2 linked regions of the Oryza sativa Japonica Group genome follow. Each later gene encodes a partner of the first gene's protein in a complex. Links are inferred from orthologs where the notes say so. Each region holds a gene or a part of one and is shown in the gene's direction. Other genes may lie near its edges.

Region 1 (6,004 bases):
TCTTTGAATACCATAGGCGGGCATAGTCTGTCAGCAATAACTTGTATGTAACTAACAAATAATGGCGGGTATCCGATTTGCTAGCAGCTTTGCACTGAAAAATCTCAAGGTCGTGCGCTTGAATCCTCTTGCCTGCGCAATAAATCTAGCAAAAACCATTTGATAAACCTGGCTAACATGCATAAATTGCATATGATGTATCTAATACATTTTGTTTTATTTTCCACATATTCGTTTTGGAGGAATTTTAAAAAATTTAAATTTCTAAAGATTAATTCCTATAAATGCTGTTCGGTTCATAAAAATGTTGACATAGAAAAACCAAAAGAAAAATTCCTTTCCTACAAGTTGTACAGAAAAACTATAGGAAGGTTTTCATCCACTCAAACCTCTTGAAAATTTTCTATGGGTTGAAGTGTGCATACATTGTTGATCTTTTTTTTTCTCCAATTCCTTTGGAACGACTTGGCCCTTGCTAGCCAAGTCACTTTGACACCTTGACCCGATTCAAACAAGGGTTAATTGGATACATGCCATTAAAAATTTGCTGGTTTTAAAATATACCACTAGTATTCATGTATTTGAAAATATGCCATTGTAATTTCACACATATTCAAAAGATACCACTACTTACCTCTTGGATGCATTTCCAGAAAAAAAATAGACCAAACTGCCCCTTTTCCCTTCTTCTTTCTTCCCCTTTCTCCTTCCTCCTCTCTTCCTTCTCAGCGGCGCGTTGGCGGCAGCAGCAGCAGATGCGGCGCGGCGACGACAGCAGCAGCAGTAGCAGCATCGATGCGGTGGTGCGGCGACGAGCGGCGGCAGCAGCAGCGGCGTGGCACAGCAGCAGTGGCGGCCGCGGCGGCAGCAGCTGCAACAAAAGGCGGCACGGCGACGAGTGGTGGCAGTAGCAGTAGCAACATCGACGCGGCGGCGCGGCGACGAGCGGTGGTAGCAGCAACAGCGGAACCAGTTGGCCATGGCGCTCTCGGCGTTCGGCAGCGTCGCCGCGGGGCTCGTGGCAGTGCCGGTCACTGTGTTCGGCACTGGCATCGACGAAGCCGTGCTCGCCAAATCATTCAAGACCGATGTGCCCACAATCCAGAAGCTCAAGGTGAACCTGAGTACCTGACTCCACCCAACAAGCCCTAATTAAGCACGCTTGCTAATCTTCTCTCGCCATTGTCGAGTGGCTGCAGTAGTAGGGCCACGGCGGCAGCAATGAGCTGTAGCGACGGTGAGCGGCGGCATCGCGAGCAGCATTAGGAGTGGTGGGGATGGAATGAGCGGCGCAGCGAGGGGAAAGAGTTGAGGGGTAGAAAATGGGGAAGAGAGAGAGGTAGAAGATGAGAGCATTTTCATTCAATACATGCAAAATACGTATCTCAGTGACACCACTAAGATTTCAAACAAGTAGCAGTGGTATCGTTACAAATATAGACAAATAGTAATGTTATATTTCAAAACTGCTAAAATTTTAATGGCATGGATCTAATTAACCCTTCAAACAATGCCCCTTTTCCCAACCCCTTTCTCTCGTTTTCCGCGCGCATGTTTTTCAAACTGTTAAACGGTGCATTTTTTTAAAAAAAAGTTTCTATACGAAAGTAGCTTAAAAAATAAATTAATCTTTTTTTAAAAAAAATTAGCTAATACTTAATAAATCACACGTTAGGCCATGTTTAGTTCCAAAATAATTCTTCAAAGTTCCAACTTTTTCATCACATTAAAACTTTCCTACACACATAAACTTCTAACTTTTATGTCATATGGTTCCAATTTCAACCAAACTACCAATTTTGGTGTGAACTAAACACGGTTATTGCCCCGTTTTCCAGGCTCAAGCAGAACCAGCGAACACACCGTCCTTTTCTTACAGAAAAAGCCTGCAAAACTGCAACAAAGTAGTCCTCCAACTCCAATCCATTAATCTCAACCGCATGTAAAAGCACATTCAAAGGTCAAAATATGACAGGTTGCTTTACATCACGTCAGTTTAGCCTTTAATTTAACGTTATCTGTTCTTCCATTCCCATTAATCCGCCATCAATATGGAGCTTTTCGTTAATCAACTCCAAAGCTACCATCTCGTCCGTCCGATCGGTACGGCGATCATCGTCCACCACTAGATCGATCAGTGAGGCAGAGACCTCTCAATCTCTCGCGTCCCTCTCGCTCTCTTCCCGCTATTCTTCTCGTCCAGATCTGGACGTCGGAGCACCGCCCACCGCTCGTCCCCACCGCGGCCGGTGCCTCGCCGGCGGCCGGCTCGCCCGCACTGCCTCTAGGTCGTAGGAGCACTGCCAGCTCGCCAGTGCGGCCGAAGAGCGGCACGCACTGCCCCCTCGCTTCTCCCCTCCTGCCCTCTCCGCGCACCCGACATCGCCGCCCCCCACCCACCACAGCCTCCACGGCCGCCCAAATGTCGGACGGTGAGGAGAAGAGGGAGATCGCCGTCTGGTTCCTCTCCAACGCCCCCGCCGGCGAGATCCACTACGTCGCCAAAGGCAATCCCCCCAACCCCTCTTCCTGACCCTCGCAATCCAAGCTGTACAGCCCCGTGTGTTTCGTTGTTTGATTCCTCTTCGGCGTGGGCGCGCAGATGTGCGAGCGCTGCTGGGGGACGAGGCGGTGTACGAGGCCGCCGCGGCGGAGGCCTTCCCGGAGCACAACAAGGCGCACCTCGTGGCCCTCGAGCTCCCTGACCGCAGCGGTGATGTGAGCACTGGGCCATCTCCTCTCCTTGCCGACTTTTGCCGTCGCGTGTTCTCACGTGCTCGAAATTGAGTGTGTTCTATCTACTGTAGGGTTGTGCTTGTTGTAGCTCGTAAATCAGCGGTTAAGACTTAGCAAATCTGGCTTTTAGGTAGTGATTAATAAATCACTTGTGGCTATTGTGTTTGTTACTTTACTTTTATTAAATTCAGTAAGCTATTGGTGTTTCTCATTGGTATGTTTATGAGCATGAGACTATAGGATGATGCCTTAACACTCGAGGGTGGGTGCTTGCTGGCCAGACATTAAAACAATGTGTCCTCGCGCGCAGATAATTATCACAACTTATGGGGAGCTTGACAAGAACAATTATCTGGATCCTAGGACTGCTCAAGTTGCTACAGTGGACCATATTAAACAGGTAATGCTGCAGACTTTACATCTGCTTATCCTGGATTTAGTTCTTAAGCCAGCTATGCATATTTAACATAGAATCTTTTAAAGTAAGAGAACATATATAACTACTAAACAATGGATGGTCATCTTAACTTATGGTCTATGAACTATATGAAGCAGTTTCACGTCTGTAATTTAATATGCACAGTATCTTGAGCTTGATGGTTTGACTATTCTTATTCATTTGATGAATATTAATTGAGAAATGGATCCAATCACAGGATATTGATACTGAACTATCTTTCTTGAAGAACATGTTACATTGAATATAGTCCACATAGATTAGTATTGTAACTGAACTCTGCATGTAAAAGTTTGATCCCACAAGTTTCTACTTTTTTTATTTACAGTGTTAACTGAGGAATAAATTATGACCATAATTATGAATTTTCTGGACATAGATTAAGTTACCTATTTTCAATGGAATAGCATAGATGTAGGTAAAAGAGCTTTTCATTATACCTCAAATAGTACATCCAGCAGCAGCTGTATTAAGCTTCAGTAACTAGTATTACAGGTTTCTGCCCAATCCATTTTGTATTAACTTGTGTTACCTCTAGACAATGGCTTTCATTCTCTAACACCGGGTTAGATTGAGATGTTTGGTTAAGTATTTGTTTTTGAAATGTCTATAGTTTTCTTTGTTCATTTGAAACATGATGTGTCTGCTTTAATTTAAGTCACCATGTTTTTTGTTTTACATGTTAAAAGAAATGTACAAAATTGAGGCCAGCTGCTGATGAGGAGCTTCCTTCAGCATACATTGAAGATTTCAGGTACCATAATTATGCTATTCTTTTCCCCAAATTTCTTGAACTCCACATTGCCTTGCTAGTCAATTTATGTTCTGCACCTTTTGTTATGGGTGCAGGAGTGCCCTGGATGTTGAATTATCCAAATATGTTGGTGAAGCTTATCCAAAAGGGGTGTGTGCTGTTTATTGTACCAGCGGAAAAGATATAGAGGGACCAGGAGTTGATTTTCGTTTTGCAGCAGTTATTTCTGCTGCTAAACGCAGCCCACAAAACTTTTGGTATGTTGTCTGAGTCTGCATTTTCTCTGTTGTTACAGATACTTGCCTAGTTTTCTCTAATCTTGAACTTGTTTATATGTCCATTTTGTGTATCTCTTCTATACATTTTAGATCCTTATTGAGGTTTCTAGAAAATTTTGGCATTCCTATGAGAAGCTATTTCATATTCAACTTCTGGATCATAGGTTTGCACATCTGTGAGTGTTTAATTCTTTATTTTCCCTTTGAACTAATCATGTGTTTTGTGGGTACCCTCTTTATCATCTTCCCACAATATTATGGTGTCTTTAGTTTTTATGCAGAAAAGTTTAGAATTGTGCTTTGGCTGAATCCTTGCTTCACATAATCTGTTACTAGAGTCGCTTAAGTCCTCTCGTCATAGTTTGACATTTCATTATTTATTCACTGATGGAGACAACTTTGTATTGAGTCATCCAGCAACGGCAATTGGCGCTCAATTTGGACTCTGGAATTCATAGATGGATTACAGCTTGTCGAAATTAAAGGGAAAATACAGGTTTGCTTTTACTTAGCTAGCGCTAAAACATGGTTAATTATTGTTATTGTAATTGAAGTTGGTAACTAAGATACATGTGCATATACCAGGTAGGTGCTCATTATTTTGAAGAGGGAAATGTGCAGCTGGATACTAACATCGATTGCAAGGATTCCACCATATTGCAGGTTAGTTCATACAATACCTATTTTTTTTATCCTGGCATGTTATGAACGATTGATGGCATCTGCTTCTTTTGACCTCGTGCAGTAATCCACACACTATTTCATCGTTTGTTGTTTTGCTGCTTTAGGTTTACGTGCTAAGTTCATTCTACTGTTCAATATATTTTGGAGAAAATTTTCTCCTGCTTTGGTATGATTTGCTACTGAGTTTTAGAGAATTATATATACATGTATACCCTGTAAACTTAGTTGCGCATGCATAAGTATGTGCTCTGCATTCATGGATGAAGTACAGTTTATGTTACTGATAGATTTTCATAGAACCTTAAAAAATTTATATCTGCACTATGCTTAATTGTGTTGGGTTGGTGCCTGATACTTTGAGTTGTTGTCGATATTCTATTGATGCAAACTGTTAAAACAAACAAAGTTGAAATTTTATTTATCCTTTTTATTTCCTGGGGTGAACTGAAAGGATCAACTTATGATTGAGTAGATTTTTTAATATAAAAATTGCACGGGTAAATTTTGCCCCTATTTCATTTCCTTTTTGGTTCTGGAGTTTTTGCATGTGCTTGTCCGGAGCATTTGTGTATGTTAAGCGTAATGTTTTGTTTAGAGCTGCATTATGCTTGCATCATTTTGCTTGCTTTGTTTTTGCTTGTTTTTAATCTTCACCAGGCTGAAAAATGCGAAACCCTTAACTGTTCTTTTCATGTGCTATTACTCGTGTTTCAGTCTCCTGAGGAATGTGCAGTATCAATAACTAACATCATTCGGCATCATGAGTCAGAATATTTGTCATCACTTGAGGTTGAAACCTGTCCCTATTTGTTTATTCAAGCTTATATGTTAACATAATGAGTAATGCCATTCTTTTCACTTGTGAACAGGAATCATACATGAATTTGTCTGATGCAACCTTCAAGGTACACCAAGGAGGCAGTAACAATTTAAGAATTTGCATGATAGTTATAATGCTAGTAAATTTTGTTGCTACTTTTACCTATCCTCTGCTCAGTTGTGTTTACTGGTTATATATGTGCACAGGATCTTCGAAGGAAACTTCCCGTTACTCGTACTCTTTTCCCATGGCACAACACATTAGCCCTCAGCCTT
Region 2 (5,822 bases), on another chromosome or scaffold:
AAATCCTTTGATTCAAAGGGGCCCTAATATGAATCAGATGAATATCGGTTTGTCTAGTTCATATTATATTTCCCCTGGAGGGACAGAATGTTTCGGTAACATGGTCGCTAACGTAATGCAGTTATGATGGATACTTGCAGTTGCATCTAAGCAATGTTCGATTGTTAAGGGGCAAAAAGTACTTAGCTCTCCATGCCGTTGCTTGTACAGTGATTACTAGCTGCAAGATGGCGACCATTTATTTACTCTTGCTAAATTCAGTGTCATGTGGTGGTTGGCTCGTGCTACTACTTACCCCATACCGTCTTCTGAAATGCTAGTACATATGCTCTATTGGGTCTTGATTTTTTTTTCTTTTCTCCTGCCTAAGATAAGCAAGTGAAAAATACAACGAAGTATTACCAAGCAATGAAAAATAGGCCAACGATACACAAGGCTTTGTTGCCCACGTTGAGTTTAGGGGGTGTTTAGATAGGAATGTAAAGTTTTGGCGTGTCACATTGGATATTATATAGGGTGTCGCATGGGGTGTTTGGGCACTAATAAAAAAACTAATTATAGAATCCACCAGTAAACCGCGAGACGAATTTATTAAGCATATTTAATCTGTCATTAGTAGATGTTTACTGTAACACCACATTGTCAAATCGTGGAGCAATTATACTTAAAATATTCGTCTTGCAAATTAGTCGCAATCTGTGCAATTAGTTATTTTTTTAGCCTATATTTAATACTTCATGCAGATGTTTGAGTGTTCGATGTGATAGGGTGTAAAATTTTAGGGTGGAATCTAAACAGGCCCTTAGTGTGGTATGCAATACCTGAAATGACTCCCAACACAGCTATCACAGTGGCAATTGTCACTCTCGTACTCCCTCTGAGGCCTGGTTTAGTTCCCAAAATTTTTTTTCCTAAAAATATCACATTGAATGTTCGGACACATGCATGGAGCATTAAATGTAGACAAAAGAAAAAACTACTCCGTAATTGCACAGTTTGCATAGAAATCACGAGACGAATCTTTTAAGCCTAATTGCGTCATGATTTGACAATGTAGTGCTACAGTAAACATTTACTAATGACGGATTAATTAGGCTTAATAAATTCGTCTCGTGGTTTCCAGGCAGAATCTGTAATTTGTTTTATTATTAGACAACGTTTAATACTTTAAATGTGTATCTGTATATCCGATGTGACTCCCCAAAACAAAAATTTTTACCTACTAAACCGGCCATGAGATTTGATTCTTTTTGATTCATATATTACTGACATGTCTCGTTGTTTCGCCTACGTCAGGAACTTCCGTCATGACATGTGAGCCCAATGTGTCAGCAACATTAGCAACGATAGAGATGGGACTAAGCGAAAGTAAGTGTATTCCAATGTTAGGGTGATCTCGAAGTTGCAGTTTCGTGATAATTTTGTGTGCAATCACAACAATTTGAAATACTAGTTAGCTAATGTTGTAGTCACTAAATTTACTAAATTTACAGTTTTCTAAAAAAAATATCCTTTATTCTCTCCCTTTTCTTTTAAGTCTAGATAAGCTCTCTCTTTACATGAAAGTTTGGATGCATGTCTACAGAAAATTTAGATCGTGAAGGATCAGGAGCAATCACTGGCACACTGCTCTCTAACACACACACACAAAAATTCAGAACAACATAACAGAGTTTAAATAAAAGAAGAAGAAAAAAAAGAAAAGAGGAGAAAAGCGACAGGAGGAGAGTAACCACAAAGAGGAGAGCAACAGCGGCAGGGCCGGCACGCAGCCGAAAAGCCAGAAAGGGGGGAGATATCAGACAGAGGAAGGAGGAGGGCGGACATGGAGGCGGCGATGGATCTGATGCGGCGGATGCCGCCGGGGAGGGCGGAGACGGCGCTGAACGCGCTGCTCTCCCTCATCCCCGACCACTCCCTCGACCTCCTCTCCCAGGTCGACCTCCCGCTCCAGGTGCCTATATCTTCCTCTTATCGCATCGCGTCACAACTACCTACCTCCAGTTTCTTGGTTATGGGATGTTCTTCTTGTTACTCGAAAAGATTCACAGATAGAGAGATGGAAGTAGGTGTCTTAATCATTGCTCGCGAGAATGGCCCGGTGTGTTTCTACAAGAAACGGGCGTTTCTTTGCCTTTGTGTGGAGAGCCGGTCCAGCCGAATTGAATTGAATCGCTCTGCTCCAATGTACCCTTTAGGTGCTCGAACCAGAATCCGCGCGACCCGATCGCAAATTTTGTAGCTATGGATGCCTTTCGTCTCATTTTGTGTGCGTCTCTCTCTTTCCTCTTTGCGCTGCCACGTTCTTTTCCTAATAGAAATGGTGCAAGAATTGCAGGTTTGCATGGACAAGGAGAGCGTGAAGGAATACATCCTATGCGAGTACAACCGTGACGCTGACTCCTACAGGTCAGCGATCCGTCGATACGCTCACGGTTTCTGTTATAGTTATCTCTTCTTTGTGAGTGTTGCGAAAAGCATCCACCTTATGAATACCGAAAGCTTCAAGCAGTATCAAAGAACGCGGAGGCAGGCACACAGGATAATCAATTGTTCAGGAATGCAGCTTAGTGATAGTTGCAGCTATACCTGTACTCGCTCTACAAATTGACTAACAAGCAAATGCATCAATCGAGAAAACCAATGCAAAGACCTGCAAACGCTTTCATTTAATTATGATTCTCATCACCACGGACACTTAAGTTGGGGGGGGGGGGGATGTTAACTGTTGGGCAGTCTGTATTGTAGCTCCCGATTTGTTGATTGTGGGGATGGCTTGCAGGTCTCCTTGGTCAAACAAATACGATCCTCCTTTGGAAGATGGAACAGTTCCCTCCGAAGAGATGAGGAATCTTGAAGTTGAGGCAAATGATGTTTTCTCTGTCTACCGTGACCAGTAAGATTCATACTCTCTTTGATTCAGTAATGCTAAGCACCAGCATGGAATAATGTTATTGCTTGCACTTGCGTTATTTCTCAATTTAGCATACAGGTGATTATATCTGCTATGTGCATGTAAAGTAAGTAGTACAATTTCCTATTGACAAATAGGTATTACGAAGGTGGCATCTCTTCTGTGTATATTTGGGAGGATGAAGATGAGAGTTTTATTGCATGCTTCTTAATAAAGAAAGGTCTGTAGGAACACTCGATGAGATCTCGTTTATTTGACCAGATAATCTGAAATTCTTTAACTAGTATTCCTGTTATGTGGCTGCAGATGGAGAAGGAAAAAGAGGGCACATGCAGATTGGTTCATGGGATGCTATTCATGTCATTCAGGTGGCTTAAGACAAAACTGTTCATGCAGTCGCTGATTATTTTACTGGTAGTTTCTGGCTATGTTGTTTTGTAGTACTCATTGAAAATTTATGTAACTTTAACAGGTTGGTCCTGAAGAAGAAGGAGCAGCGCATTACTGCTTGAACAGCACTGTGATGCTATCATTGACAACAGATAACAAGCAATCTGGAACTTTCAACTTGTCGGGATCAATCAGGCGGCAGGTAACATCTCCCTTCCTGTCTTATCCGCCTTTTTGTCATATTAAGTTGCCCTTAGTTCAAGGGCATCTTTCATCCCTGTTTTCCACAGTTATTGATGTGTATTACTACCTCAGTACTTTGTAGAACCCAGACTTTGTGCATAAATAAAACAATTTGAACCATCAATATAGCTTTACACATGTACCTCTATAGTGTATCAGTAGTCTTAAGACATGTCGTTCTGGATGTAAAGCAACTTTGCTCTCACAATTTTAGACCCTTGCATGGTCACAAGGCTACAATTCGGCCACAAATTTCTATCATAATATCAAAAATCACAGAAGATACTTTTTTTTTTAGATACAGAAGATACATATTATGAATGAGTACTTGACAATAAAGCTAGCGATAACAATTTAATTTTATGGGGCCAAACTGAAGTGTAAACACCTTTCCGTGCAATGGTGATCAAACATAAAAATGTTTGATTGGCTCACATTTTGGGATCACCTACGCAAGGAGTAAGAAATAGATGAATTCTTCAAAAGTGTTCTGGAGAATTAAACTTACAAGTTAATTGCAAACTTAGAAAGCCTAGAAAGACAAGCAACACTTATTTTTTGAAAGACAAGCAACACTTATAAAGACATAACTTATCAATTTGCAGATTTCTTGTGGCACAATCATTGAATCAGTAACATAATAAAAAAATTCGTTCTTAAGACACTTCTTTTTATTAGGAGACTCTGCTAAGCTGTGGAAAATCCAAGCAACCTAATCCTGAACCACCTGTTCTCTTTTCAGATGAGTATGACTCTTGCTGTGGCAGATGGGCACCTGGTTAATATGGGAAAAATGATAGAAGAAATGGAGGGCAAGCTCAGAAATTCGTTGGACCAGGTAACAGTTTCACATCACACGTCAAAGAAAGAACAGTTTCACATTTAAGTTGTTTCTTTAGTGTGAGATTAATTGCGTAGATGTATTTTTCTTAATGCTTTGTATCTCTATGATGGCAGGTTTATTTTGGGAAGACCAGAGAGATGGTTTGCACGCTTCGGCCACCACCCGAAGTATTAAACAGGAGGCTACCTGACAGCTGAGAAAACGCAGAGATGTGAATTTTTAACACAAGAACTATATATTAGTCTTGCAATCATCTCCTTAGCGACCTAGAGTCTCTTTTCGTAATTGATCTGTATTTAATAGTAGCAGTCTCTAAAATGGACACCACTTTGAGCCATCATAGGAGTGTCTTCTCCATTGAATTGTGAGGAAACTGGGCAAAGCTTCTTCATGGCAGCTGTAACAGAGAGTTTAAGCAAAAGGGAGCAGGAGTTTGCATTTGCCGAACTCGTTGTCACTGCCCCTGAGAGCAATATTCTGTCATCTTTGTGAAGATCTACATCTTCTTGTGACCTTACAATTTGTTAAATCAATGCAAGAATATGGTTATCTGCTTACATGATCATCAATAGTTTTGAGATTTTTGAATTCCCTAGAAAACAAATTGTCAGTGATCTCCATGATTAGTTGTATAACATGTAGATCAGGCAGTAACAATATGGATTGAGCAAGCTGGATACTTCAGTTTATTTTTACAGTCACGAACAATTATGCAAGTTCCAAAGTACAAGGCAAATGGAACATGCCACCAAACCGCTATGAGTAAAAGTATGAAACACAGAATGGCTGGATAGCTTTGCAATGGTTGATGCAAATATGGCGATTCACATAACAGAACAGTGTGCAATGCACAAAGTTTTTTAACAAAATGGAGCTACTAAACCATAACTACTACTTTACTTTAGTGGCAGTGATCCACTCTCCAGAGTTTACACCAAAAAAATCTTAAGACCTGGCAGCGTCACAAACAAGTCAAGCATAGCGTTCTAAAACTCTCAGGTATTTCACGGCTTCGCTTCACCAGCAGCTTCCTGTTCCCCGCTCCCCTCTGCCTTAATGTCTTCATCATCTGCAGATTGCAGAAGCATAAAGTTAGTTCGGTAATTGCCTCTCGGCGAATTCACTAAGTTGAATATACAGAGTTCTTGTTATGAGAAATTAAGATCCCTGGAAAGTTCAGTTTACTATGCTCATGTTGGCTAAATCAGATCAGATGTTTCACAAGAGTTTTACATAACATTGGTTAACTAGTCTAGTTTGAAATGGTATTGCATAGACAAAATGGTACGTTGACTGACCCAGACTATAACAACAATTCATTGAATCAACTGCTAAGACTGGCAATTCATTGAATCAACTGCTAAGACTGGCAGTCCTGCATTAGAATCAACATGCTGCATCCAACATGATGTGGAATGTCAAAAGGAATGC

What was found. Proteins that work in one complex are often made in the same cells at the same time.
Region 2: the proteins of F-actin-capping protein subunit alpha (region 1) and probable F-actin-capping protein subunit beta are in contact, whole or in part, in a crystal structure (PDB 4AKR), measured with the Dictyostelium discoideum proteins. The link is inferred for Oryza sativa Japonica Group from reciprocal best matches to the Arabidopsis thaliana genes CPA and CPB. Residues at the interface, in XP_645243.1 of Dictyostelium discoideum: Leu7, Ile10, Phe14, Asn17, Pro19, Glu22, Glu25, Val26, Asp29, Val30, Ala32, Leu33, Leu34, Tyr125, Asn127, Glu128, Tyr129, Tyr130, Pro131, Thr154, Cys155, Ile156, Tyr157, Tyr163, Ser164, Gly165, Arg166, Trp167, Val190, Asn191; in XP_647630.1 of Dictyostelium discoideum: Lys4, Gln5, Cys8, Cys9, Asp11, Leu12, Met13, Arg14, Arg15, Leu16, Pro17, Pro18, Gln20, Asn24, Gly27, Leu28, Asp30, Leu31, Val32, Ile103, Phe104, Ile106, Tyr107, Leu110, Tyr111, Phe112, Glu113, Lys136, Thr137, Gln138.

The regions. Positions count from the first base shown.
Region 1 is NC_089041.1:13,229,781-13,235,784, reverse strand, and holds the start of F-actin-capping protein subunit alpha, read left to right. Parts: upstream 1-2,185; 5' UTR 2,186-2,422; coding exon 2,423-2,507; intron 2,508-2,602; coding exon 2,603-2,718; intron 2,719-3,046; coding exon 3,047-3,136; intron 3,137-3,882; coding exon 3,883-3,947; intron 3,948-4,042; coding exon 4,043-4,204; intron 4,205-4,642; coding exon 4,643-4,721; intron 4,722-4,810; coding exon 4,811-4,888; intron 4,889-5,623; coding exon 5,624-5,698; intron 5,699-5,778; coding exon 5,779-5,814; intron 5,815-5,935; coding exon 5,936-6,004. UniProt on the Arabidopsis thaliana protein: F-actin-capping proteins bind in a Ca(2+)-independent manner to the fast growing ends of actin filaments (barbed end) thereby blocking the exchange of subunits at these ends.
Region 2 is NC_089037.1:15,465,133-15,470,954, forward strand, and holds probable F-actin-capping protein subunit beta, read left to right. Parts: upstream 1-1,766; 5' UTR 1,767-1,825; coding exon 1,826-1,954; intron 1,955-2,338; coding exon 2,339-2,409; intron 2,410-2,782; coding exon 2,783-2,896; intron 2,897-3,051; coding exon 3,052-3,134; intron 3,135-3,220; coding exon 3,221-3,282; intron 3,283-3,386; coding exon 3,387-3,506; intron 3,507-4,289; coding exon 4,290-4,385; intron 4,386-4,504; coding exon 4,505-4,588; 3' UTR 4,589-4,948; downstream 4,949-5,822. Other genes in the region: co-chaperone protein p23-1, read right to left, coding at 5,396-5,460. UniProt on the Arabidopsis thaliana protein: F-actin-capping proteins bind in a Ca(2+)-independent manner to the fast growing ends of actin filaments (barbed end) thereby blocking the exchange of subunits at these ends.